Linked DNA regions of Arabidopsis thaliana. The protein of the gene in region 2 interacts with the protein of the main gene of each other region in a pairwise test. Each region holds a gene or a part of one and is shown on either strand. Other genes may lie near its edges.

Region 1 (5,135 bases), on a different chromosome or scaffold from region 2:
AAATTTGGTTATATGTATGGAGGTAGTGATATAGAAACAAAATCGTAGGAGTTGAAGTGGATAATGGTTGACTTGAGACCACGTGCGGAAATGCGAGAAAACACGAGCACAGTTCAAAGACAACGAAATCTGTCTGACTAAGTACATGTGCGAGTGCATGCTGTCTTGCCACGTGTTCCATCTCATTACACCACGCAAAAGTCTTTTACGTGTATAATCAAACGTACATGAAAAGAAAAGATATGGATGACAGTATTTGTTGAATTAAATTTTGTCGAAGAGGGTTTTTGTTTGCTTCTCTAATCGTCGGACCCATTGTTTCCACTACTCAACATTCTGGTCCGGTCTTTTCTGCCGGTTGAACCGATTGCATTTTCCTTCTCTTCTACGGATTCCATAACGTTAAAGTGAGGAGTATTGGTGGAATTAGGGAACTCAAACACAAGGTAAGAATAAGATGATAATTTTGTATTTTTCTTGTTTTGTTTTTTACGAGTCGATAAGTATGGACTGTAAATGTAAAACTAGTGTTTGCTTTTGTTTGTAAATAGCGTTGTAGAAAGAGGAGATTCTTGAAAATTTGGCATCTCCTCGGCCACATTCACATATGAGGTTCATAATTGGAGTCACATGGTTGCATGTGATCACATTGGGTCTACCTTTTAGCCACATATGGCCAACTCCACATTTTCTCCTTCTTCTTTTTTTCCTCTTTTTTCTTTTCGTTTGTTTTGTAGCTATCATTCGATGCATTTATATTATTTAATTAACAAAAGCATACCTATACATATTTGCCTCACTATTAATTCCGCTTTTCTTCACAAAAACCATATCATGTGAATGAATACATTACTATCTAAAACTATATCAGCCGTATTAAGAAAACTAGAAAAGGACAAAAGATGCAGTATGTCGATAGATGACATTTGGATAACCTATCTATCTCAGTTGACAAATATCTTTGAAATACAACCATAAATTAGTTTTTTTTAAGTTTCATCTAACATGTACTTAAAATATATATATTTAAAACCTATAGCACATCCTCCAAGCTCGATCCAAGGACTTATCAAGATGGATTTTGTGAGAAATCTTCTTATATAACTTGGAAGACACAATGACCCACAAACATGTTGCCATTTAATTTGATATACAACAAAAAGGTGTGAATGCTTTTGAAAGACATATTGGGTGTTAAAAGAAAGAGCACACGTGGGGAGTCTTAAAGAGGGAAAAAAGATGTTCCAAGAGACTCATTTCTCAATCTTATTGTTTCCTCTTCTTTTGGTTCCATTTTTGTGGTCCTTTTTGCTCACCACTTCTTTCAATGTTATTCCTAGTGGATTTCTTCTGACAACTAACTTTTACTAACTTGTATTTTATACCATAATCATCAATTTTTCATAATGTCAGTTCTCTTGAAGAGTCGTATGCTACTCCTTGTTATCATAATTAATGTTGACATTCAAGTAAATGTTTTTTTCTAATCAGTTTGAAAGATTTTGAGGGCATTTTGAGCAAAAAATACACTTTTCGACATAAACTTCAACGTCGGAAAAAGTCTTTGAGAATCACATGGAGTCCATTGGCCCCAAAATTAAGGTGGGTGTCCTCAACACGTTACACGCACATGCTCATTTTTGAATTGCTTCAACTTGCAAATTATTTGTTCTTCTCCTTACTTTTTAGTTTCTTTAATTTGTAGGTCTAATTTTTTTTTAAAGCGTTAAACAATTTTTGGAATCGACATTAGTTGGCATTTTGTTGTTGTTATTGTTTAGATAACTTTGATTATCTAACGAAAAAACAAAGAAAGATCAAAATGGATACAAAAAAAAAGAAGTGATGATGTATACAAATAAAATACATGAATTTAATAAATTAAAATCGCGTCGACGAGAAAAAAAAAACACTTGAAGCCAAAATAAAGGGGTAAAAAGGTAAAAGAAAAGCTAATTAACAACTGACAAACTAACTGCCGCCGTTAAGTTCCGGTCAACGTCGTCCGTGGTGCGGCTGCGGTTAAAAGTTCGGCGAGAGCCTCCATGGCTCGAACCTGCATCTCTAACGCTGCGATGTAATCGGTCGCTTCATCTAAAAGATTCGGTACAGAGACTTTCCGGCAACCAGGAACCAAACGGCCAAGAATCTTCAGTTTTCTCTCAACCGCCGGTAACTTAATCCGATTCGTCTCCGTGAGACCTTTTCTCGATTTACAATTTCCCGTTGACTTTTTCGCCTTTCTATGTTTCTTCAGCTTCGCTCGGACGCGACTCGCTAAAATCGCTCTGCTCCACCGAGTCGTACCACGAGCGGACGCAGCTAGAACTCGATCCGCCGTATCACGTATCTCCCTCGCCGCGCCGGAGACGAGTTTATCGGTCTCGTTGTTGCTGGTGGTGGAAGATCTCTGACGAACTCGGCGTAAAGCTTCGACGAGCTTACAAGCGTAGATCTGTTGCACACGATTCGTTTTCCATCTCTTCAAGCTTTCTTCGTTGACACGTCGTGCCTCTATCTCCGCCTCCGCCGTCTCTGATATCCTCGGCTTCTTTCTTCGAGACGATTCACCTGTGTTTTCGATGCTCGGGAACAGAGACTCCACCATTAAATCCGATTTAAAACCAGAGATTCAAAGAAACCGATGATAAAAGGCAAAAACAACAATCTCTTCTTCTTCTTCAGATTCTGAGAGTCTCTCTTTCTCTCTCTCTCTCTCTCAATGTGACTAGTTAGAAACAAGAGAAGATGAATGGAGAGAGATCAGTTTTTATATCTCTGCCAATCGCCAGCGGAGCTATAACACTTAATTCCACTTTTGCCCTTATTTACCGGTATTTGTTTTTTGTGTTTTTTTTCATTAGTTAAAAATCTTTTGTTTTTAATCTTTTGTCATTCATGTGATTGTTCTTTATCTTTTTGCCTTGGCATGAAGCTCCAAAATTATGCCCTTTAATAGTCAAAATGCTGAGCGATGCAAATATATTTTCTATGTTTATACATTGTAACTCCAAAGGTCAAAGAATATAGACGATTGATATATATATTTTTGATAAGTTGAGAAATAAAGGGTGATGTTGAATCTTTTGTTTCAAGTGGTTGCGGTAGAATTCATGTGGTTTTATTTTATTTTAAAGGTAAGCAGAGAAAGGGAAAAAAGCACTCAGAGAGTGAAATAAGCAAAAGAGAAAAGAAAATTTACCAAAAAAGCATTCCATGTGACCATTTTCATGGCGCTGCCATATGAGAAAAAAGGATCTCTTTTGTGTGACCTTTACTCATTTGTAATGTTGTGGACAATTTTCCGCCAACAAATTCTCTCCTTTGCCGTTTCCCACTATTTTGTGTGTGATTTGTATGTTTCTAATTGATATCTCAATCTAAAGAGTAATGAGTAGTCTACAAAGGAAAAACAAAAATAAAATTCAAGAGTAATGAGTAGTATATGTATATTGTCTTCATACCATAGTTTAGAAAATATTTTTTCTTGACAAAATTCGATCCTTCGTAACGGTGAATGTCATTGTCAATTTGTCATATATCACGAGGGAATTATTAGTTCCTACACCAAGTTCTAAATCTTAAACAAACCATGATCTAAATTCTATAGTAACTAATGTAAAACATTTACTTTTCTTGATCAATTCGTTTTTGGCACCTTGCTATGGAAAACACGAGAGAAATGTTTTAGCAATTATGAGTTGACACTAAATATTATAAGTGCATTTTTGTAGTAAATGTGTGATTTATACCAAAAAAAACAAGAAAAAAAAAAAGAAGATCTTGAAGAGAATCTAAAAGGGCCCTTTTCTCTGTAATTGGCCAGAGAGGCTTGCCCCCTTAATTGAGACATCGTCTCCATGTCTCTTCCTTTTCTTAATATTTTAACCACGCTCAAATATTTCTTCTCCGACTCTCTTAATAATACTCACCAAATTTTTAAACTGGAACCCATTGATATATGTGGTCGTAAGCTTTTCTTGTGCGTGTATATTTTTTAGATTCTAAAATATCACAAGATTCACAGCGCACATATGACACCAAAAAAAAAAAACACATGTCTATATGCATCAGACCAATTATGGAATCTCCCAAGGAACAAAAACATGCTCATTCGTGAATACAGTATCCAAGGTGGGGAAGTTAAAGACTAGATCTTACTCAGGAATTCATAAACACTGAGGTCAAAATCGAACAACATCACACAAAGGAAACAGCTCTCTTGGATCAAGTAACTTGTCTTTGCTATGTGGTTGCGTTGCTTTTCAGTTATTACCAGGAGCCTTCTGTACCTACTGTTGGGTTTGTGAACGCCTTGGCCCCTTTATAAAGTTTTAAATCTAGTCCATTAAGGCTCATTTATCGTTAGACTTACTGGGCCTGTATAGGCCCGAGGACAGATGTTATTTTGTTATGTTGAAATCGGGAGTTCAAATTTTCGAAATCTTCCGTATTACAAGATACACTTGTCCTGTTAAAATAGTACACTTGCAAGATTTTTTTGTTATATCTTAAATATTTTGGTTTTAGTTAGATGTTTGTGGATCACCTATGATTTGTAAGGTTGAATCCATTGGGATTGGTCAACCATACTTTTTTCGGCAATACCTATATATTAATAATTCATGTTTGTGTTTCAATTTAACTAATTTTAGTTAAGGCCATAAGAAAATACTAACACACTAATAACTATATATAATGCATTATTGATGTCATCAAATTCAAACTGGAGTCTCAAATTACTCTTAAATGAATCGTTTTATAATTTTTATGTTTGTTGTTGTAACATATTTTGGATTGAATGTAGCATTTGACATGTTCCCATGTCCAAAAAATAAAGTTCTAATTAGAAACGAGCTTGGTCCCGGTTTAGTTCTTCAATACCATTGTCATTCAAGAGATCACAATCTAGACGTCGCAAATTTACAATTCAATGAATATAAAGAAATCGCATTCGGAGACAAGTTAGGAAAAAGAACAAGATGGAGTTGCATTTTGAAACACGGCTTATACATGCGATATTATTCAGAATTTATAGCATACATGATGGCCAACGTTCGTCGATGCGGTGCTATCCGTAATTGGATTGCTAGAAAAGATAGAATTTACCTTATAAGAAATGTAAATCCGCCAGC
Region 2 (7,060 bases):
GCGTAAATCCCTTCATATATTGCCAAGAAACCACGCACATAGACAACCATCAGTTCACACCAATCACTAATCAAACCACAACATGTTTAAGCCAGGGCAAAACATCACTTACAGTTCGGTATGGAAAGGAAGTGACATGCTTCCCATCGACACTAACATGGTAGCCTTCCAATCCAGCACTAAGAGTAAGCACGAAAAGCTTGTCAACTGTGAATGGAAATGGCCATTCAACAGTTACTTTCTTGCTCCGACCTATTAATCGACTAAGCCACCATGAAGCCGCCTTGCTAGACTCTTCTTCTTTAGATGTAATGCTATCATCCCGAGCCCATTTCTCGCACTTAACCTGACCATCAACTACAACCATTCTTACTAATTAGTATCCCCAACAAAAACACCAAGAAAAACAACAGATGAAAGATAAATGCTTTTGAACATATCTACACTAACCAGTCTCTTCATCATCCCTAGATCTCCATCCTTCACATCTTTGTGCTGAGCCCCATTGCATTCTATAGCAAGTGTTCTGCTCAATCACAGGCTTACCACTCCAATCACCCTTAAGCCTTGGATTCAAGTGGAGTATCCGAGGTGGCTCTTCTCCTTCCACTGCTTTCAAACCCTGAAGCTCCAACTTAAACTGTGAAACCTTCACAGCTTCATCTCCTTCCTTTAACATCGATATCTTAGGGTCCTTCTCCGAATGAGCAGCTCGTGGCTTCCCAACCACTGTAATATGTGACCCAAGAGTTAAACCACATGGAAGCTCCATGATATTCCCACGTTTCAAAAGATCAGACCCGGTTAAGGAAACAGAGAGAGAACACGAGTTTGTCCCATGTTCCTCAATCTTCTTCTTCTTCTCCTTCTCCAAAGCTTTCAACGTTTTCCCAGACTCAAGCTCTTCCCATATCTTTCGACCAACTTCCCAAGCTACCTTAGCAGATTTATGAAGCTCCACAGACCCATCTTTGCTACTCGGGTTAAACGTTTCCGGGTCGAATCTCAAACTAGAAAGGATCCGAGTCCTTCTTCTTAAACCCTGAGCCGGTGATTCCGATTGTGATTCCTGGTAAAGCAGACTCTTTAAAGGTCGAGTCGGAGCTCGTCTCTCTTGTAACTCTCTCTGACTATTGTGCTTCTCGGGTCGGGTTAACGGATCCTGAGATAAAGAACTAAGCCCGGTTTTGAAGACGAAAGGGATTTCGAATGTGATAAGAAGCATGTAGAGTAACCCAACCGCCATTAGTATCTGAACCGATCTCTGCTTGCTTAGAGAAACGAAAATGTCGAATTTCTCTAACCTCTCGAGTTTTGACAACTTGGGCTTCCTCATTCCTAAATTATACGAAGAAAAATCCAAACTTTTTTTTAACTGGAAACAGAAAACCCTAGTGATGATGATCAAAGAGGAACAGAATCTCAAAATTCAAAATTTCAAAAAACAAATAAAAATCAAATCTTGAGAGATTACGATGAACGGAGACAATCAGTAGATTGGTGGGTTACTATAAATTCTGAAAAACCCTTTGAACACGAAGAGAGAAAATTCAAGAACTTTCTATGGAAAAGACAAATCTTTAGTGAGAAAATTCAAAACCCGAAAGAAACGTAAAGTCGAAAATTTAAATCTTTAGAGAGACGTGTAAAATCGTAAGATGAACAGAAACGCGTCAGGAGAATTTGGAGAAGGAAGCAGCAAGGGGAAGAGTTAAAGCTCTCTCCTCTTTCTTAGTTAGTGCTGCTGACGTCTGAATAAACCGCCGTTTTGGTCCATCTCTCTCTCTCTCTTTTTCGAATCTTTTCTTCGCTTTTAAATCTTCTCTTTTTCCTTATTTTATTTAGTTTTCGATTAAAGTTATAGATTCGTTGGATTTATCTTTTCAAATTAAAGTAATTTTATTATTCTAGATGATTATTTCCACCACCAGTAGAATAAAAAGGAAAAACGTTATGTTTTTGTCGAATTTTAATCTTATAATTGAAGTAATAAGATTTTTAAGGTTAAGCAAATCGACCAAAAAAACAAATCGAAAAGGTTGTCTTGATTACACGAGACAGAATGTGAAATTATTAGTTAATTAGTACTATATGATTTATAAATTAAAAAAAAACAATAATAGTAGATGGAATCATATGTATTTGATTGTTTAGTAGATATGATTCTTATTTTGAAATTTAAACTATTATTGATTAATGTCTACTTAGTCGGTGCTAAATCGGCCAACTGTGTCATTCCATCACCAATGAAGTCACATAGTACTCCTATGCTCATGTTTTTATTTTTGACTTTTCTCTCTATTAATTTTCTTAATTTCATGACCAAACTGAAATGAACAGAAGAAATTGATAACAAAAAAATAGTGTTTCTTGTTTTTTTATTAGAGGTATCTTGATGAGTAGAGCAAAAAAGCTTTATGGGAAAAATGGAAAGAGAGGAATTGGGCTTCATGTGTGACACCTTTGCATCCAGGTGTCTTCTCTTTCTACACTTGTCTTTTCCACCTTTTCATTATTTCATCAAAATATAAACATATTCCACTTAATTCGATAATAAAATTAATAATTAAAAAAGTTTTGCAGAAAAACATCAATTTCTAATTTGTTGGTCTTTAAACAATTTTCTTGCTACACATTTAGAGCATTCAATGCTATAGAATTGACTTTTAAAAGTTTTAACTCAGTGAATAGTTTTAGAGCTTTTTTGTTTGTTATATACTGTATTCTTAAAAACGTTTGATATCTCTGTATTCATCATTCAAAAATACAAACTTTTATAATAAACACAACAAATGAAGGTTGAAATCATCGAAACGAAAAATGACACTCTTGGCTCCTTGTATTTTTCCGCAACTACCTTGAACATGTCATCTACCAAAAAGGCTAAAACTACATTGAACATAATAAAACTATAGCTTCTGAATTTTTAAAAATTTAACGTGAAGAACGTTGACATGCAAACAAAAAGACTAAAACACATGTCATCTATCCTTCATATTAGCGTTTTATATATTTAGCTAGAATTTTGGCTTTTGTGATTAAGCATTTAAAATTTAAATATATGGCCCATTGTCACATCCTCGATCGTATCCTACGTACCGGTGTGTGGTTCCCTTCACTTTACACAACTAACTTTCATAAAACATATGACTATGAAGTGGGAGATCTATGTTAAATAAAAAAACACTAATTGGTGAATATTATTGTAAACATAGGCGATCGAGTACTTACTAGGATGGACATATGGTACGAAGATCAAATTTTTAATCCAAACATATACGTTTTTTCCTTAAACACGTCAGAATGAAATTACCAAAGTAACATGATTTGGTTTTGCTAGTATGTATTTTTTTCTAAGAGAGATGCATTGTCCTTTGGTGTATTTAAGTTGTTCACAGTAAAATTACCAAAGTTGTTCACAGTAAAAAATAATTTAATCAAAGGATAACTAAAAGACATAATTGTGAGATTTTTATTTTTTATTTTTGATAGAAATTATTTAGGTTATTGCGCCATAATATATCTTTTCTATTCAATTTTGTTTCTAAACGAAACGAAAATTTTACCATTGTAATATTTTTTTTATAACAGAAACGGCAAAATATTTGATGTAAGCTGTGTAATTAATGAGATTTTCTGAAAGTATTGGTGATAAATCATCTTCCATTGCATACTAGTGGCGCATTATCACTACCCACATCTGTCTTACCTTCTCCGATCTCTCTCTCTATTTGTCCACCTCACACACAACCCTATAAACAAGACAAGACCTCGCAAAGCTCAAACCTTTTCCTTCTTTTTTTCTATCAAGTTCCTCACTTCTCGGATCCGGGTCCTAAATCTGGGTCAACCCTTTTTACGATCATCGGAAATGGACCCTCCACTAGTGAACGATTCCTCCTTCTCTGCAGCTAATCCTTCTTCTTACACTCTCTCCGAGATTTGGCCTTTCCCTGTAAACGACGCCGTTCGCTCTGGTCTCCGTTTAGCTGTTAACTCCGGTCGAGTCTTTACTCGCTCTGAACATTCCGGCAATAAAGACGTCTCCGCGGCTGAGGAATCTACAGTCACCGATCTAACTGCTGGCTGGGGAAGTAGAAAGACTAGAGATTTGAACTCTGAGGATGATTCTTCAAAGATGGTTTCTTCCAGCAGCAGTGGTAATGAATTGGTGAGATTTTGCACTTCAATTTTTGAAAAGTCCTGATTTTTATTTGTTGGGTCTTTTGAATGTTTGAATCTAGATCCTTTAGCTTGGTGGTGATCTAAAAATCAATGAGTCAAAGTTTAAGTCTTTGGTTTAGGGATCAAGGATTAGTTTATAGATTAGATGACTTATCTCCATTGACTTTTTGACTTAAGTTGGATTCAGCTTGAAGACCATTAGTTTGATAGATGTTGGAATGGTCAATGCTTACTTAGTGATCTTAGATTGAGAGTTTGATTTAGGATCTTAAAGCTTTCCATCTGTTTACTTTTTTAATAGAAAGAATCAGGGGATAAGAAAAGAAAACTGTGTGGATCTGAAAGTGGAAATGGAGATGGTTCGATGAGACCTGAAGGCGAAACAAGTTCGGGTGGTGGTGGAAGCAAAGCAACGGAACAGAAGAACAAACCTGAGCCACCAAAGGATTATATTCATGTGAGAGCAAGAAGAGGACAAGCTACTGACCGGCATAGTTTAGCAGAGCGAGTAATTCTTCTGCTAAAATCACCATAAATTTTATCCTCAAAAACTGTTCCTTTTATTAGAATCACAATGTTGTCTTTGACAGGCTAGAAGAGAAAAGATCAGTGAGAAGATGACAGCTCTTCAAGATATAATTCCAGGATGTAATAAGGTACATGTTCTTTTGGTCCCTGCTTGTGAATGATGTTATTATAGCCTAAAAAACATTCAACAAGATATTTCTGTTGATCAGATAATCGGAAAAGCCCTTGTGCTCGATGAGATTATCAATTATATTCAGTCATTGCAGCGGCAAGTTGAGGTAAAAGTCGTTAACACCTCTCTGTTATATGTTACAATTATACATGCCTAAGCATGGAGTTTGGTCTGCAGTTTCTATCAATGAAGCTAGAAGTTGTTAACTCGGGTGCAAGTACTGGTCCGACAATAGGAGTTTTTCCTTCCGGTGATGTAAGTCCCAAATCTAAAAGAACATAGAAAAATCTTATCTTTCTTAATCAAAGCTACTAAATCTAAAAGCTCTTGGTGTGTTGTATCAGCTCGGGACTTTACCGATTGACGTTCATCGAACAATATACGAGCAACAAGAAGCTAATGAAACCCGAGTATCTCAACCGGAGTGGCTCCATATGCAGGTTGATGGGAACTTTAACCGAACCACATAAAAAAGAGTCTTTCTCTGATTGATGGATGTGTTTTGTAGGCAGTAAAAATGAATGCAACCCTTTATTTTTTATCCTATGCGTGTGTATCATTTTGCTGTTATATCATAAGATAGAATATGAGAGTGACCAGAGAGATTAACACTTTATAAAACATTGTTGTATTGTCCTATTATATAACTTGTAACAATTGATTCAGTAACATATGTTGGTCTTAAATCTTGTCCTTTGTATAATCTTTATGTTATGATGAATCAATGATACGTTTTTTTTGTTGTCTTCAATTTATTGCAACAACTGAAAAAAAGTAAACAACTTCTGTCTTCAAAATAAAAGAAGAAGGATTTGACTTTAAGTCAAAGTAATTGTATCTAACGGCTGAGATTCTCTCTTCTTCATCCTCTTTCAGATCAAAATTCGATCTCTATCTCTCTTCCTCACTCAAGTTGAGGGGCGCCAAAAAAAAACCTTTTTGACAAAGAGGGAAAAAAAAAGTTTTTATTTTTATTGTTTTTGTTGGGCGAAATCGATTTGACAAAATCCCGAATTTCAGTTGGGCAAATTCTTCTATTTCTCAATCTGGGTCTTTCTCTCTGGTCGTGATTTGGTGACCGTACGAGCGAATAACGCGTAAAGATTCATAGCTATGGAGCATCAGAACGCGGTCAAAGAAGCCCTAAACGCACTGTATCATCACCCGGATGATACAGTGCGTGTGCACGCTGATCGCTGGCTTCAGAACTTCCAAGGAACTCTCGATGCTTGGCAGGCGAGTTTTTTCTTTTCGATTTCAATTATTTAATCTCGATTTGTTTAGGTTCGATTTGTTCTTCCTTGTTTTGTAGCACTTGTGCTAGAGTTTAATGTTCGATTTTCAGCTACTGTAGACCATATAGGTGCATAAAGTTTCATCCTTTAGTCAATTTGTATTAGTGATTTGCTCTTTAAGGTCATATAGGCTTATGCATAGCAGAAATCTCAAAATTTCAGTACGTCTAAGTTCATTTCTGAGTTACTTTAGACTATATAAGTGCATAAATTTTCATCCTTTAGTCAATTTGTATTAGCGATTCGCTTGTTAAGGTCATATAGGCTTATGCATAGCAGAAATCTCGAATTTTCAGTACATCTAAGTTCAATTGTGCACTTTTTCCTGTAGCTGGTTTGAGAAGTATGTGTAAGGTGTGTGAATAGATTTACCTTGTTAGAGAAACGATTAGCTAGGTTTTATATGAGCTCTTTTCTTTTAGACCCATGATTGTTGTTGCGGAGAAGAGGATTTTTTTTGATGGAGAAGTTCTACAATATTTCTTACTCTGTGCTGTTGTATGTTTTCTAGGTTGCGGATAATTTACTTCATGATTCTTCTAGCAATTTGGAAACTTTGATATTCTGTTCTCAGACCCTTCGAAGCAAGGTAAATGCACCTGAATGTTTCTGTAAATCCTTATTCATTTATCACACAATCTTGGAGCATTCTGGTGACATCTAGTCTGTCTCACTCGAAGGTTCAACGAGATTTTGAAGAACTACCACCTGGGGCTTTTCAGAAGCTACGGCAATCATTAACGGTAATTCTTTGTTCTATTAACTATTTCTTCCAAAGTTGTAGGGTTTCATGAGTTATTCATTAGTATGTCTGTTCCTTTGAGCAATAACATAATAGGAAAACTCAGTTGAACTAGAGTATTCTGGGATCTAGGTTTTA
Region 3 (6,892 bases), on a different chromosome or scaffold from region 2:
GAAGTAATGCCCCCATTTGTGATTCTTCAAGTCAATTTCCTGCAAAATTAACACGTACGATAAGTAAAGTAAGCCAGTAGTATTCTAGGACTCCAGGATCTCAACTATATTGTCTGTGACAAACAGGAGAATGCAACACAGATACATTACCTGGTCAGGATCGGCAGGATATGTACACATAGTGTACTTATCATTAACATTTGCAATCCGAAGCTGCTTTTGATCCTCACATTTCCGAATCGCTATAATTGTATCCTGACGAATAGCCATCGGCAACACTGAGTATCCTTCATAGTCAATGTGCTCTCCTATCAGATTCACTCTTCCTACACACAAAATATAACAAACACCTTCACCATCTATTTTCACAATCATATCCAACAATTCCAAACAGAAGATCATCTGATGTCATCATCCAAATACCAAAATTGCAGACATCGATACAATAATTAGAAACCAATTCATCTCAAAGTCAACGAAATTCCAATTTTTGCAAAAATTCAAAAACCCGAGATTATTTACCAGGAGAGCGAGCGAAGAGTTGGGGAGAAGCACCGAAGACATCGTTGAAATTGGCCTTCAAAACATCGAATCGTTGTGTAGCTTCTTGGAGCAGAGATCCTTCGCCGTAGACAGGCTCAAGAGATGTGAAGATCGGGACTGATACTTCTTCCGGTTTCGCCATTTTTGTAGTTTCTCCTTTTGGCTCTCTCTGTCTCTCTCGATCACTTGTCGTCACTTAACCTCTAATGTTCACAGTTATCACGAAACGTCTTCGCTAGAGCATAATTATTAATTGCCACCGATCTTATTTCTAAAATATATTAATTGTTTATCGTATTTAAGATCTGTTCCGGAAGATCGCTTGTATTTATCGAATATTTTGAATTTTAAAAATGAATATTTGTGAATATCTTACTTATCCAAAACTTTCGATCTTTTGGATTCCGGAACACGTTTATGAATCTTAATTCGTACTATATTTGTTGGTGATTTTTTTTTTCTTTGGGTAGGTTTATATTTGATAAACATATTATTCCCAAAAATGATGTTATTGATTAAAAAACGTTTCCTAATTCTTCTAACACTCTATGAATTCAGATAACACTAGATTAGATAAGTGTCCTAGTTTGAATTTAAATTTAATCGTATTTTACGTGTGTGAGAGTTATATCCTATATGTAAAAACTAAAAGTAATTTGAGCTATAAGATAATACTGAATGGATAAATAGTAAAAGTTTTCCGGTTAACCGTTGTTTTTAATTCCTGCTTAATTAGATTGAGTAACAAATATGCAAGTGTTAACGTGTAGCAACATGGAGGTATTACATACAATGTAGATAAAACTATATCTGAAAAAGATATTGATTTATGTGTAAATTAAAAATAATAAAAAATTTCTAAAAGATGATTAGAGGAATAATATATTACATTGTATATATTAGCCATAGGGTTTAGGGTTCAACTAGATTTTTAAGGTTACTCTTATCGTTTATTTATTTATTAATGATATATATATATATATATATATATATATATATATATATATTTATTTATTCACACAATTTAATAAGCAAACGTCTAAGTTGAAACCCTAAATTAAAATATCATTTCTCAAATCACTATAAAATGGAGTCTCTCCCAGAAGAAGTGGTTGTGAAGGAGATCTTGCCACGCGTGGCTCTTTCTTCACTCAAGCTTGTTCAACTTCAGCCTCGTATGCAAATCATTACATAATCTCTGCAACGACCCTCAAGTTCTCGAACACGTCTGCCTCGACGAAATCAAAACCGCAAACGATGACCTATAACTAAAGCTAGAGTTTTCTCAAGAGATGCAGAGAGAGCGGAAACACGGAAGCAGTGGCTCGTGAAGGAATTGTGAAGTGCTTTTACCTATTCAGTAATATTGTTGATGAAGAGAAAGGGATCGAATGTTTGCAAAAGCCGCGTCTAAAGGACTCAAAGCTGCCTCATATCTCTGTGGAGTGATCTCTTTGTGTCGCGGTGGGAAAGTTCCGCAAAAGAGTATCGAGATTTTCAAGTCTTCTTTTGTCGTGAAATCTTCGGCACTGAAGACTAGGAGAAACCTCCAGGAGTATCTGCAATGGATGGTTTCCAAATATAAAAATCATTTTTTGGGAATTAGGCTCCTTGGTTATAACTGTGTTCGACATGGACATAATTTTATCTGGGCAAGTTTCTCTAATAGTGTGTTGGCGAGTTTTAATCCAATCTTCTACAATGTTGCGGTTTATTTTCTCTAATAGTTTGTCCCTTTTGGCAATAATAATATAACTTATGAAATATGTGATGAAAAGAGTTGTCGTGCAAGTTAATAAGAGAAGGCTTAAAAAGAAACAAGAGGACAAAGGCATGGCCACTCCCATGTGCCTCCTCATACTTTTAAGGTCACTTCTCTCTATGTTTTAAATATTTTTTGCTTTTGTCGTCACTTGTCTCTTGTTGTCGCCTAGTCATACTCCAGTGTTCTTAAATCATATCCCTATCACAGAAATTCGTATATTAATTAAGCTAATGAATCAAACTCCTGTTAAGTCAATTTTAACTACAGGTTATTCAGTTTTGCTTCGTGATGAATATTGAAGGATATACAGTACGTGCAGAACTGCAGATTAGTGTTTGAGAAAACTTATTTAGTAACAGGGAATTATTAGCTAATTTAATCTTTTTTCTTCTTTTTTTCCTTTATATTTCTTGTGAAATAAGGAAAAGAAAAGAAAAAGAAGACAAACAACCTATAAGTATCAAAAATGGGATTCAAAGGAGGGGCAATAAAGCGAGTAGATGATTGAGTGACAGATCAATCTCATCAGTCATCATTCAATTCAATGAATTTGAATGTATCATTCCATTCATTCTCTAATGCATCATCACATGCTACCATAATCAAAACTAAAGTTAACCCATTATCTTCCTACATCTACTATAATGTATTTTAAAATTCTAAATGGGAAATTATTTTCTTTCCACTTTATTGCAGTACAAATCTATTTCATGTTGAAATTTCATATAGTACATAAGATGATATAGTACAAAGCCATATTGAATGAACTAAAAGTACATCAAAAGTTCCATATTGGTTTAGTTATCACATACTATGAGGTTAAAAGAGGAACCCATTTTCCCACTAACTCCAATAACGAATTCATCAATCTTATTTTTTTTTTGATCAACAACGAATTCATCAATCTAAATCAAATAATCCAACTACGATTTGAACCCTAATGGTAAAGACTTTATTAATCAATCATATACTTAATTTAGACTTGAGGATCGTAAAAATGGGAAGACTCGGTTCAAAATTTACTTTTACTTGTAGCAGAGAAGAATCAGCGGTTGGGAAGAGTAGTTACAGATTATAATCAAACCGAATCTTCTATATACACATAAGCTGTGAAAGATCGAGAGATGGTAGAATTAAAAAGACGATTTTAACCTCATCAAATCGGTGGAGGAGCTGAGCCGTAGGAGGAGAGAAGCTGAACTAAAGAGTTCATGGCTCTCACTTGCATCTCCAGAGCCTGAATATAATCAGTTGCTTCTTCTAGAATCACCGGTACGGATTGTTTACCGCAACCGGGAACTAACCGGCCTAGAACACGTACTTTCCGGTTAACATCCGGTATACTCTTCTTATTCAATCTCAACACCGACACTCTCCGTTTTCTCGATCTGTTGCTGCTGCTACTAACCACCGTAGTCATGGCCGGAATCGCCATCGTAGCTCGAGGACGTCTCTGTTTACGAAATTTCAGTTTGATCCGATTAGCTAAGATCGCTCTGCTCCAGAGTGTTCTTCCCCGAGCGGAAACGGCAAGAGCTCGATCGGCGGCTTCACGGACGGCCTTTCCTCGTTTCTGAGCCGTTGGAGATGATGATGTTGAGGCGGAAGAGTTGAGGCGGACTTGTTGGAGCGCTTGGAACAGTTTGGCTGAGTAGATCCGTTGTTGCTTCTCCGATCGCCATCGCGCGTGAATCTCACCGGAGACGGAAGATGCGCTTGAACGAGACGATGCGGCGGATGAAGCAGAGGATCTCTTCTTTCTCCGAACGAGATCTGAAGTAGTACTCGTCGGCGGTTCAATATCTGAGATCAGAGACGCCATAACCAAATAATTGGCTCTGATCTCCGCAGTCGTATTGAAAGAGCTACAGAATCCGAATTTATCTGAAGTTGAGCGGAAGAAAGTTATGAAATTGTGGAGAATAATGGAAGGGAGAAGAAGAGGAAGATATATAAAGGGAGAGAGGTATCAACTATCACGAGACGTAGCAGTTAACAAACGGCCCCGTTTTAGATGTAGCAGTTAATAAGCGGCGTCGTTTTGTCAATTTGTTTTTTAGTATTTGTTGTTTTAGCCAGATACGAAAGTGGCATTTGTAATGCATGATAAAGAGAATTCGTGAATACCACCAAGAAACAAATAATTTCATTCTCAACACTAGTGGAATTGATAAGTTATAATTAACTGGCTCTATAACCTCTAATGGTTTTGGAATAATGAGAGACAGAGACATCATTGTGACTTGAAGCAATGTTTATGAATTATGATTATACTTAAAAAGTTTTGTTCCACGTTGATTAGTTCACAATTATTTTTTTAAACTTACCCTCTTGACAGAGATTTTAGAAAGAAATTTATATACAAAATTTCTTACAATCACGAGTTTTCGATCTTTTGTAGACATAATCTAAATAGAGAGTAAAATACATAATAGAAATGCTACAAAGATCCTAATGTGGGTAGAGCATCCATAACGATAGTTTCCAATCAATTTAGGGTACAATCTTAATTACTAAATTAGCTTATTGATATCTAAAGATGTTTACGAAAAGAGAAAACAAACAAACTTGTATAAAGGCCGATACTTTGGTGGAATGGAGGAGGAAGGTAGATTCAAACGAAAGGATGACGTGTCATATTACTATTGGAGAAATCCATTTACGACTTATAGTGGTCGTTTAATGGACTGACAGGGCAAAAAGAGAGGGGCCAAAAACTCAAAACTTTGGATTTTGTATTCAGTGCAATGATTTCGTAAATATTGGAATTGTATTTAAAATACTACTTTACGCATAAAGTAATATACCAAACGAAATGCATGTGCGATGTAGGGTTAGTGGCACTGCCTCTCTTTACGGCTTTTTTTTCTTTCCCTGTAAAGAAAAGATCACTGAAATTAACTCCTGTATTTTATCAAAAAAAAGTTTTGTATGTGTATCTATCAATATGTATGAATAAAATTTCATTAAATTTTGTGTATATGTATAAGTAGATATAAGATTAATAGATTGTTGGGTAAAGTATAAGGGAGTGGCGTCATTTTATTCATATATCCTGCTGAAAAAAGGAGCTTCTGAACTTCTCCATTGGGTTAATTCATATATAAATAAAGCTAGCTACGTTCAAACTAATTTTCTAGAAAAGTTACTGTTAGTTTGATTTTTGTTTGTACTGTTCACTATGTTGAGTTTGATCAGCAGTTAAAATGGAAAATACCTATCTTAGTTTATGTTAGACATAAAAGTACCACAATGGTATATATACTGTATTAAGATGTTTTTAGGCGGGTGGAAAGGATGTTAGAAACAGAGCGCAATGCGCAATGCTTCATAGATAATAGTATTCATTTAACCTAAGGGCTAAGGGTTAATAATTGTGTCAGTAACGTGGCATATTCTCTGTACCTTAGAAAGTTATAAGCTAGAATGATTCCACATGACAAATTAATGATAAGAAACAACATATCCAATTATTCACTAAAGTGTCACTTACAATAAAATAGTTTATCTACTTCGAATTTAAGAATATATTTTCGATTTAGATACTTAAATTTTCTCAATTTATACTTTAGAATCAAGCAGAAAATTTGTTGGTGAAGAACAAAGCAACCTAATGAATTATCTGTTTTACGAACTGAGTCAAAGAAACCACTATTCGAATCTGCGATTTGCGTAATTCTCATGGGCTCTACTTCAACAACAACAACAAAAAAAACATGTATCACAAAGGTTGCTGGCTGTAATTGTTATCTTCCATTAATAGAAATAAATATATTTCGGATTGGAAGTTCAAATTTGTTACTATGAAAATTTACTACTGTAAATCATAATTCCAGCTATCTAAGGTTTTCAAATTTATTTGCAAATCATTATGTATCTCGGATGTAATGAGTTTTTTCTTATTATATTAATGAAAAAAGTTGATAAGGAAAGGAAAACTAACTATTAAGTATGATGAAGGTGGCACAGAGATTGCCTCCCTAATTCTAGACACCAAATAAACTAAGTGAACGACAGACAATGGAAGAAGAAGGACTAGTTTCTTTTTAAAGGAAGAAAAAGGGAAGTATTGATTAGATTAACAGATGATGATGCTCAATCATTGTTTTTTCAACGGGTCTATTTTGGATTGCTAATATGAAATGATTAATAGTCTTTTGGTAAATTTAACATCAACTTAACAACACTTTTCAGAGGCAAATATGAAAACACTAACCTGTGTAGTTTTTTCTTTTTTCAAATGATATTTCCAACTTCTATGTGTTTCGCTTCATCAGAAGTAGTTGATTTTTTGTCCCTGGTTTCTCACAGTGATAGCAGCCAAATCCTGTTTAAATAGTAGAAATATGATTATTGTTAGATTACGTACACTAATTTATAAGCATTTGGAAGCCTAACTCTTAAGTTGCCATCATTGTTTTACCAACAACACTGAGCAAACGTGACAATTACTTGACCAATGACAATCTTTGTTGTGAATCGAAAAGCTGAATTTCCAACCCATGATTTGCCTAGGTTTAATACCAGCTTTTCATCATACACGTGAAAAATAATTACTCCTAAATCTATAGTGGGAATCCAATT
Region 4 (5,808 bases), on a different chromosome or scaffold from region 2:
TAACGCTTGAAACTGCAACCGTCCGATTCCGTAAACTCCTACAGTCGCAACCGAATTGCTGCGTTTCAACCAGTCAGGCCTTTAGATAAGGTTTCTTAGTCATGGGCATTCGGTTATCCATTCAATTTTGATTCGTATCCATACGGTTATCGGTTCTTTCGGTTATAAAGTTTATTATCCATTCAATTATTTTTAAATTTTGGTTCGGTTTTGGTTCCGTTCCGGTTCTTTTGGTTTTAAAATTTAAAATTCATTCATTTATTTTTCTTTGAATATTTTCGCATATTTTGGTTATTTTTGATATTTTTATATGTTTTCGGTATTTCGAGTATTTCTACTGTTAAATAACTTTTAATTATTTAGTTTATAAATAATTAATATTTTTGAAAATATAATTATATTATATTTCGGATATTTTCGGTTATCCAAAATATTTTGATTTGTAACTATTCGGTTTTGGTTCTTTCGGTTATAGAATTTAATATCCGTTTGGTTATTTTCAAATTTTTGGTTTGGTTTAGTTTTTTTTGCATCGGTTTCGGTTTGGTACATTCGGTTCAGTTTATTTGCCTAGGCTTAAGTTTTCTTGATAAGAAATTTTAGGCCCATGTTTTTATATAGATTTTAGTTTTGAAAGTAGTTTGGTTGGGTTAGACCCATATCTAATTTTAATTTTGTTAAGTAGATGAGATGACATAGAAAAATGGTAAGCTTTTATTGGTCAACGTAAATAAGGTGTATTAATCGAAATGTTCTGATTGGTTGTTGATTTTAATGAGGTGTCATGCTGAGAACACTTAAAAAAGCTGATGTGTCAGCGCATGAGAGACTTTTAGAGTTTTTATGTTGTTGATAAGTTTTAATTTCAAAAGATATTTTACTAATCAATCTTAGGGTTTGGGAACTCATTCATCTTATATACCAAGTTCTGAAACAATGTCAAATCATTGACCAACCTGTCGGCTCTTCCTGCCTTCAACTTTTGACCTTGTCACGTCTTTGAACGCAAGATCAAATTAGATATAACAAAATTCGATTTTTGAACGCAATATCAGAAATATAATTAAAGTCCCAAATTGTATCCTATGAGTATAAAATTCTCAAGCATACAATCCAAAGATATTGAACGCTTAGTATTAATTTAAATTCTGATTACATCATTTACGTGTATGACGTAAACGAATCAAATAATTCAAACAAAAAAAAGAGATAAAATAAACGAATCCATTATCAAAACGATGATCGTACACCAATATATATCTCAAGAATCAAAAAAATTGTTGGACATAACTCGACATACAAATATAAAATAATATTTAGAGTATAAAACGTCAAAATGTGACTCTTCATATCTCTAGTATTAAATTATATATATATATATAAATAAATAGAATTAAAATCCGAAGGTGTCTCTTGAATCATCTGGTCAGTGCATTGAGTTTTAGGTCAAGGCCAATGTCCATTCCGTTGTAAGCAATAGGCGCATACATCCATAGATCATCAGAGCTCAATAACTGTATAACATAACATTATTCATTATAACCAATATTTAATTCTCTATCTTTAATTGATACAATATTTTCTATGGTTTAATTTATATTATAAGCATTGAGAACCTAACGTACCTTAATTTGGAGCTGTAGAAATTTGACGTATTGTACTGCTTCTTCCAACATCGTGCTAATATCAACCTGATACATACATATTTAACACATTTAATTTACTTAGTAATCATGAAACGAAATGAGTAAAAAGTGATGTGGTTACGTAGTAATAAATAAGTTTGCATGGAAAAAAAAAGGTTTGCATGAATGAAAGACATATGTACCTTTGTTCCATTAGGGACGAGATGTTGCAAAATCCTTAGCCTCTCGTTTATCCTCTCTCTTCTTTTCTGCACCATCATACAATGGACTTTGTTTAATTGTTTCAGCTATCATAATAAATTTTGTTATGTTTGTACAATGCATATACATAAGACTCATCATCACATTTGTGTACATGTTTGAATAACATCGAAGCCTTAATTTTTAAAGTTTATGTGTAAATTACCCTTGCGTAAAGGCTTTGAGGATCTGTGGCCGCGCCGCGGCTGGCCCTAGTCTTGCCGTTGAGGTTGAGAGCCTTAGAGTCCTCGCCATCTTCTTTGGACAAGAAAGTGTCTCCACCGTTTGATTCGTCATCCGAACAACAAGTCTTTTGCGGCTTAAGTGGTTTGGTCTTTCTCTTCCCCGCAGCCTTCTCCGTATATTCTTCTTCGCCGCTATTTTCATTTTCGCCACTCATCTCTACGCATTTCTGGCTCCTTCGTGCCTTGTTGGCTCTCTTGTTCTTCTGATTTGGTTTCAAGAACATTAAAATATTTAGAATTATGGTTTCGGCTGAAAAAAAAAAAAAACGTTTGTACAACTTACATCAGTTGTTGTGGCACGCGTCCTCTTCTTTGAACTCTCACATTGGTTGAACATTTTCTCATCAGTGGTCGTGGTCAAGGAGTTCTCAGGCTGTAGCATACTATGGTCGTGGTTTTCTGCGACAGTCTCCAAAGGCAAGAGGCTTTTACCGGAGTATTCCGTCGCATCACATTCACTTGTCTCTTCACCAACAAGGTACAAGTTCGTGTTGATTGTCGCGTCCTCCATCCCATTGTTATCTTCTTCTTGCCGTGGCATCGCCGCGCAGTAACCACTATAACTACTGCTCTCCTGAGAGAAGCAAAAGCCACCATTCCATTGAGAACCCTGGTGGTGGTAGGCCGTGAGTGTGGCGGTTGTCTCTGAAGATGAACCGCCACAAGGTTGCTCATAGGAGGCAAGGAGCTGATTCATAAAGTCAGCTTCCTCTGTATATATTCCGCCTAGGCCGGTGCTCCATTCTCCCATGGCTTCCATTTTTGATCACTAAGCGACTTTAACAATAGACTAATTAATCTTAATTAAAATCCGATAAGTAATGTGAGAGTATTGAAGGAATGATTGAGAGGAGTTTGATGTGTGTATTATATATAGGATCATGAGAAGTAATGGATATAATTAAATGTCAACCAATAAAACATTATAACCATCTTTAGAATAAAGTATTTTTTTGGGTAACCAGGTCTTGATACCCATAGATATGAACAGCTAATTATAGAGCTTAAAGAAAGCTTTGTCTTTCTCTATATCTGTTAAGCATGAGTTAAAATCTGTATTTAGTCATTGGTAATTCAATACAAAAAGAAGAGGATCAGACCTATACAAATCCTTGGAGGGGAGATAAATCCAGGTTCAACTGTATCTATTATGTTAATAATATAGAGTTGTGAAGAAAATAATGAATGTAAGGAAAAGGTACAACTAGGAAAAAATATAATTGTGATGTATCAATCCCAAAACCAGGGACTTATACATATGTTTAATTTATAATTGATGTATAGAAGACCTTTGCATTTGAGGATTTGTTTGAGCAAGTCTAAAATATGAAAAACAATCTCTTTCTAGTTACAGTCGCTATGATTGGTTCAAGTTCTTAAAAAAACGGTTAACAATTTGTTTTAGTGGTTGGAGGAAACGGTTAGAGAATACCAAGTTGAAAAATAAAACATAATATCAAAAACAAACATGACAAAGAAGACTCAAATAACAAAAATAATCTTATACCAAAATATGTTTACACTTTTAGTGGTACAAAAATTTGTTGGGTTTCAAAGTAACAAAATATCATAGATTTGTCAAGTTGTGACGTGAGTATATATTGTTATGAATGTAAGAAAAAAAATAACTAGGAGAATTATCATTGTGATGTATCGATCCCAAAAGCATGGACTTATACGGATGTTTAATTCATAATTGGTGTATATATAGAATACCTTTGCATTTAAGGATTTGTTTGAGCAAGTCTACAAGAAGAAAACAATTCTCTTACTAGTTACGGTCGTTGTGGTGAAAGCAGTTAGAAAATTAAGTTGACAAAAAACAATCCGATAACATAAAAAAAAAAAAAAAAAACAATAAGACAATCTTATATTGTTGGCTTTACACTTTTGCTAGTCTTAAATTTTGTTCGGACTTAAAATTACAGAATATCGTTGATCTATCAAGTGCGAAGTGACTATATTGGTATGCAAGAGCCGGATCATGGCCGAGGAAAATATATATCCCTTCATTATACCAACTTTGAAAGATGGAATGTTGATGCATGCAAATATCTTGAGAAGCTATAATCCAATAGACATGTTAACCAAGGTCATCATGTATGATAAGATAAGGAAATGTGCAATTTTATTCGGATTTTTAGCTAATGTAAGGTAATGTGCTTGTCTATAGACTAAGGATCGAAGTCATTAGTCTATAGACTTGCAAATTTTGCAAACTTCTTGTTGGTGAGCATTGGAAAATTTATGGAGCCTCTATCTTTATTTTCTTTATGTTATCTTAGTTTTAATTTGTATGAACTTCTCTCGTTTAAAGTTTAATAGTGAATGAAAGTTGTTTGACAAAAAAAAAGGATCGAAGTCATTAATCCTCCAATTAGAGAAAAATGATTACTATTTTGTTCATGTAAATACTTAATATATAGTCTACCACTTTGAATAAGTTCCATCCATAAATTTGAGTGAGTTCGAACAAGAGTTTTTAAATAAGTCTAATGTTTTCAGGGGAACGAAAATGAGAGGTGTGAAGGGGAGAAATGAGAATGAGAGACTCGGTTGTTGAACGTGACAGTTATTGTTGATATTAGTAATTATTTTATGCATTAATCAAATGTAAATTAAATAACTAATGACTCATTATAAGCTGACAAAAAAAACCAATCAAATTTGATTAAGTTTAAGTCAATGAACGGACGGCTGATCGTGCGCGTGGAAATGCTATAACCCATTCTTATCAAATATACACTTTATTTCAAAGTAATTAAATATGGATAATGAAAATGGTTACCATATTTTGTAAAAATGATGCGACAGATTTGAATGGTAAACAACTAAACAAATACGGTTTAGTGAGTAGTCAAAATTTTCATCTTGTACAAGATTTGATCTGACATAAAACATGTATTTTTTGATCAAAAAAACGGGTAGTAATATGCAAGTAAACCTTCTTCTTCTTATACCAAAATAAAAAAAAAGTAAACCTTCTTCTTTTTTAAGTAGTTATAAAAAAATTAACATTCGAAAAATATACAAATTTTCAATTTAACAAGTAGCTAATTTTCAGTGAAATTTCTAAACCACATATATATATTTATTCTTAGAAATTATAAATACATAACAAATATTAAAATAATTTGCGTGTTAATTGTAAACCTAACAATATGACCTAGATGAGTAAAATGCACTTGGTAGCTTTCGTTAACTCCAAATTCGTCTTTATATATTATCAATAACCTTGTTTATGAAGTGTTCCAACCAATTTTCTACTTCGATGAATATCGCTGCCATCAAATTCATCTAGTATGGAGTGTACCTCTTTCAAACAAAGCCTTCATGTAGGGAGAGAGTCCGACATTAGCTAGTGTGTATGCAAGAACCACACACATCATGCCCTCTCTTTGACATGTTGGAAGTGTGATCTTAGCTCATGGGCAGCTGGATTGGATGGTTTCTCTGTGACAGATCCACAGATATACCTCCCACCTTTCCATGGTCATCTGATTTATATACTCGCCGATGATGGGTAAGGTTTAACTATTTGTGCAGCCATATTTCAAGCTTCAGATGCTCTTCTTAGGCCACCAAAACAAAGATTCATAGAGTTTTATTGGTCATCATCTCATGACTTCATTCCTTTTTAATCTTTTTTTGTTTTTATTCCACTAGTCTCTAATGGA

Evidence for each region.
Region 1: the proteins of AT5G62610 (region 2) and AT1G09250 interact in binary tests that used the Arabidopsis thaliana proteins (3 or more experiments, as listed by UniProt).
Region 3: the proteins of AT5G62610 (region 2) and AT3G06590 interact in binary tests that used the Arabidopsis thaliana proteins (3 or more experiments, as listed by UniProt).
Region 4: the proteins of AT5G62610 (region 2) and AT2G14760 interact in binary tests that used the Arabidopsis thaliana proteins (3 or more experiments, as listed by UniProt).

The regions. Positions count from the first base shown.
Region 1 is NC_003070.9:2,986,982-2,992,116, reverse strand, and holds AT1G09250 (basic helix-loop-helix (bHLH) DNA-binding superfamily protein), read right to left. Parts: upstream 2,977-5,135; 5' UTR 2,609-2,976; coding exon 1,985-2,608; 3' UTR 1,690-1,984; downstream 1-1,689. Other genes in the region: AT1G09245 (Plant self-incompatibility protein S1 family), read left to right, coding at 4,750-5,135. UniProt on the Arabidopsis thaliana protein: Atypical bHLH transcription factor probably unable to bind DNA. Negatively regulates brassinosteroid signaling.
Region 2 is NC_003076.8:25,131,412-25,138,471, reverse strand, and holds AT5G62610 (basic helix-loop-helix (bHLH) DNA-binding superfamily protein), read left to right. Parts: upstream 1-2,406; 5' UTR 2,407-2,473; intron 2,474-3,565; exon of another isoform or gene 3,566-3,591; 5' UTR 3,592-3,871; coding exon 3,872-4,171; intron 4,172-4,486; coding exon 4,487-4,693; intron 4,694-4,775; coding exon 4,776-4,841; intron 4,842-4,922; coding exon 4,923-4,991; intron 4,992-5,062; coding exon 5,063-5,140; intron 5,141-5,229; coding exon 5,230-5,355; 3' UTR 5,356-5,624; downstream 5,625-7,060. Other genes in the region: AT5G62620 (Galactosyltransferase family protein), read right to left, coding at 1-10, 113-357, 451-1,336; MOS14 (ARM repeat superfamily protein), read left to right, coding at 5,999-6,121, 6,692-6,769, 6,861-6,923.
Region 3 is NC_003074.8:2,051,183-2,058,074, forward strand, and holds AT3G06590 (basic helix-loop-helix (bHLH) DNA-binding superfamily protein), read right to left. Parts: upstream 4,485-6,892; 5' UTR 4,131-4,484; coding exon 3,465-4,130; 3' UTR 3,461-3,464; exon of another isoform or gene 2,507-3,460; 3' UTR 1,897-2,506; exon of another isoform or gene 1,818-1,896; 3' UTR 1,565-1,817; downstream 1-1,564. Other genes in the region: GALK (Mevalonate/galactokinase family protein), read right to left, coding at 1-39, 151-326, 523-685. UniProt on the Arabidopsis thaliana protein: bHLH transcription factor that binds DNA on specific sequence 5'-CANNTG-3' in target gene promoters. Negatively regulates brassinosteroid signaling.
Region 4 is NC_003071.7:6,320,422-6,326,229, forward strand, and holds AT2G14760 (basic helix-loop-helix (bHLH) DNA-binding superfamily protein), read right to left. Parts: upstream 2,977-5,808; 5' UTR 2,892-2,976; coding exon 2,415-2,891; intron 2,335-2,414; coding exon 2,053-2,334; coding exon of another isoform or gene 2,038-2,052; exon of another isoform or gene 1,934-2,037; coding exon 1,829-1,933; intron 1,692-1,828; coding exon 1,626-1,691; intron 1,515-1,625; coding exon 1,419-1,514; 3' UTR 1,166-1,418; downstream 1-1,165.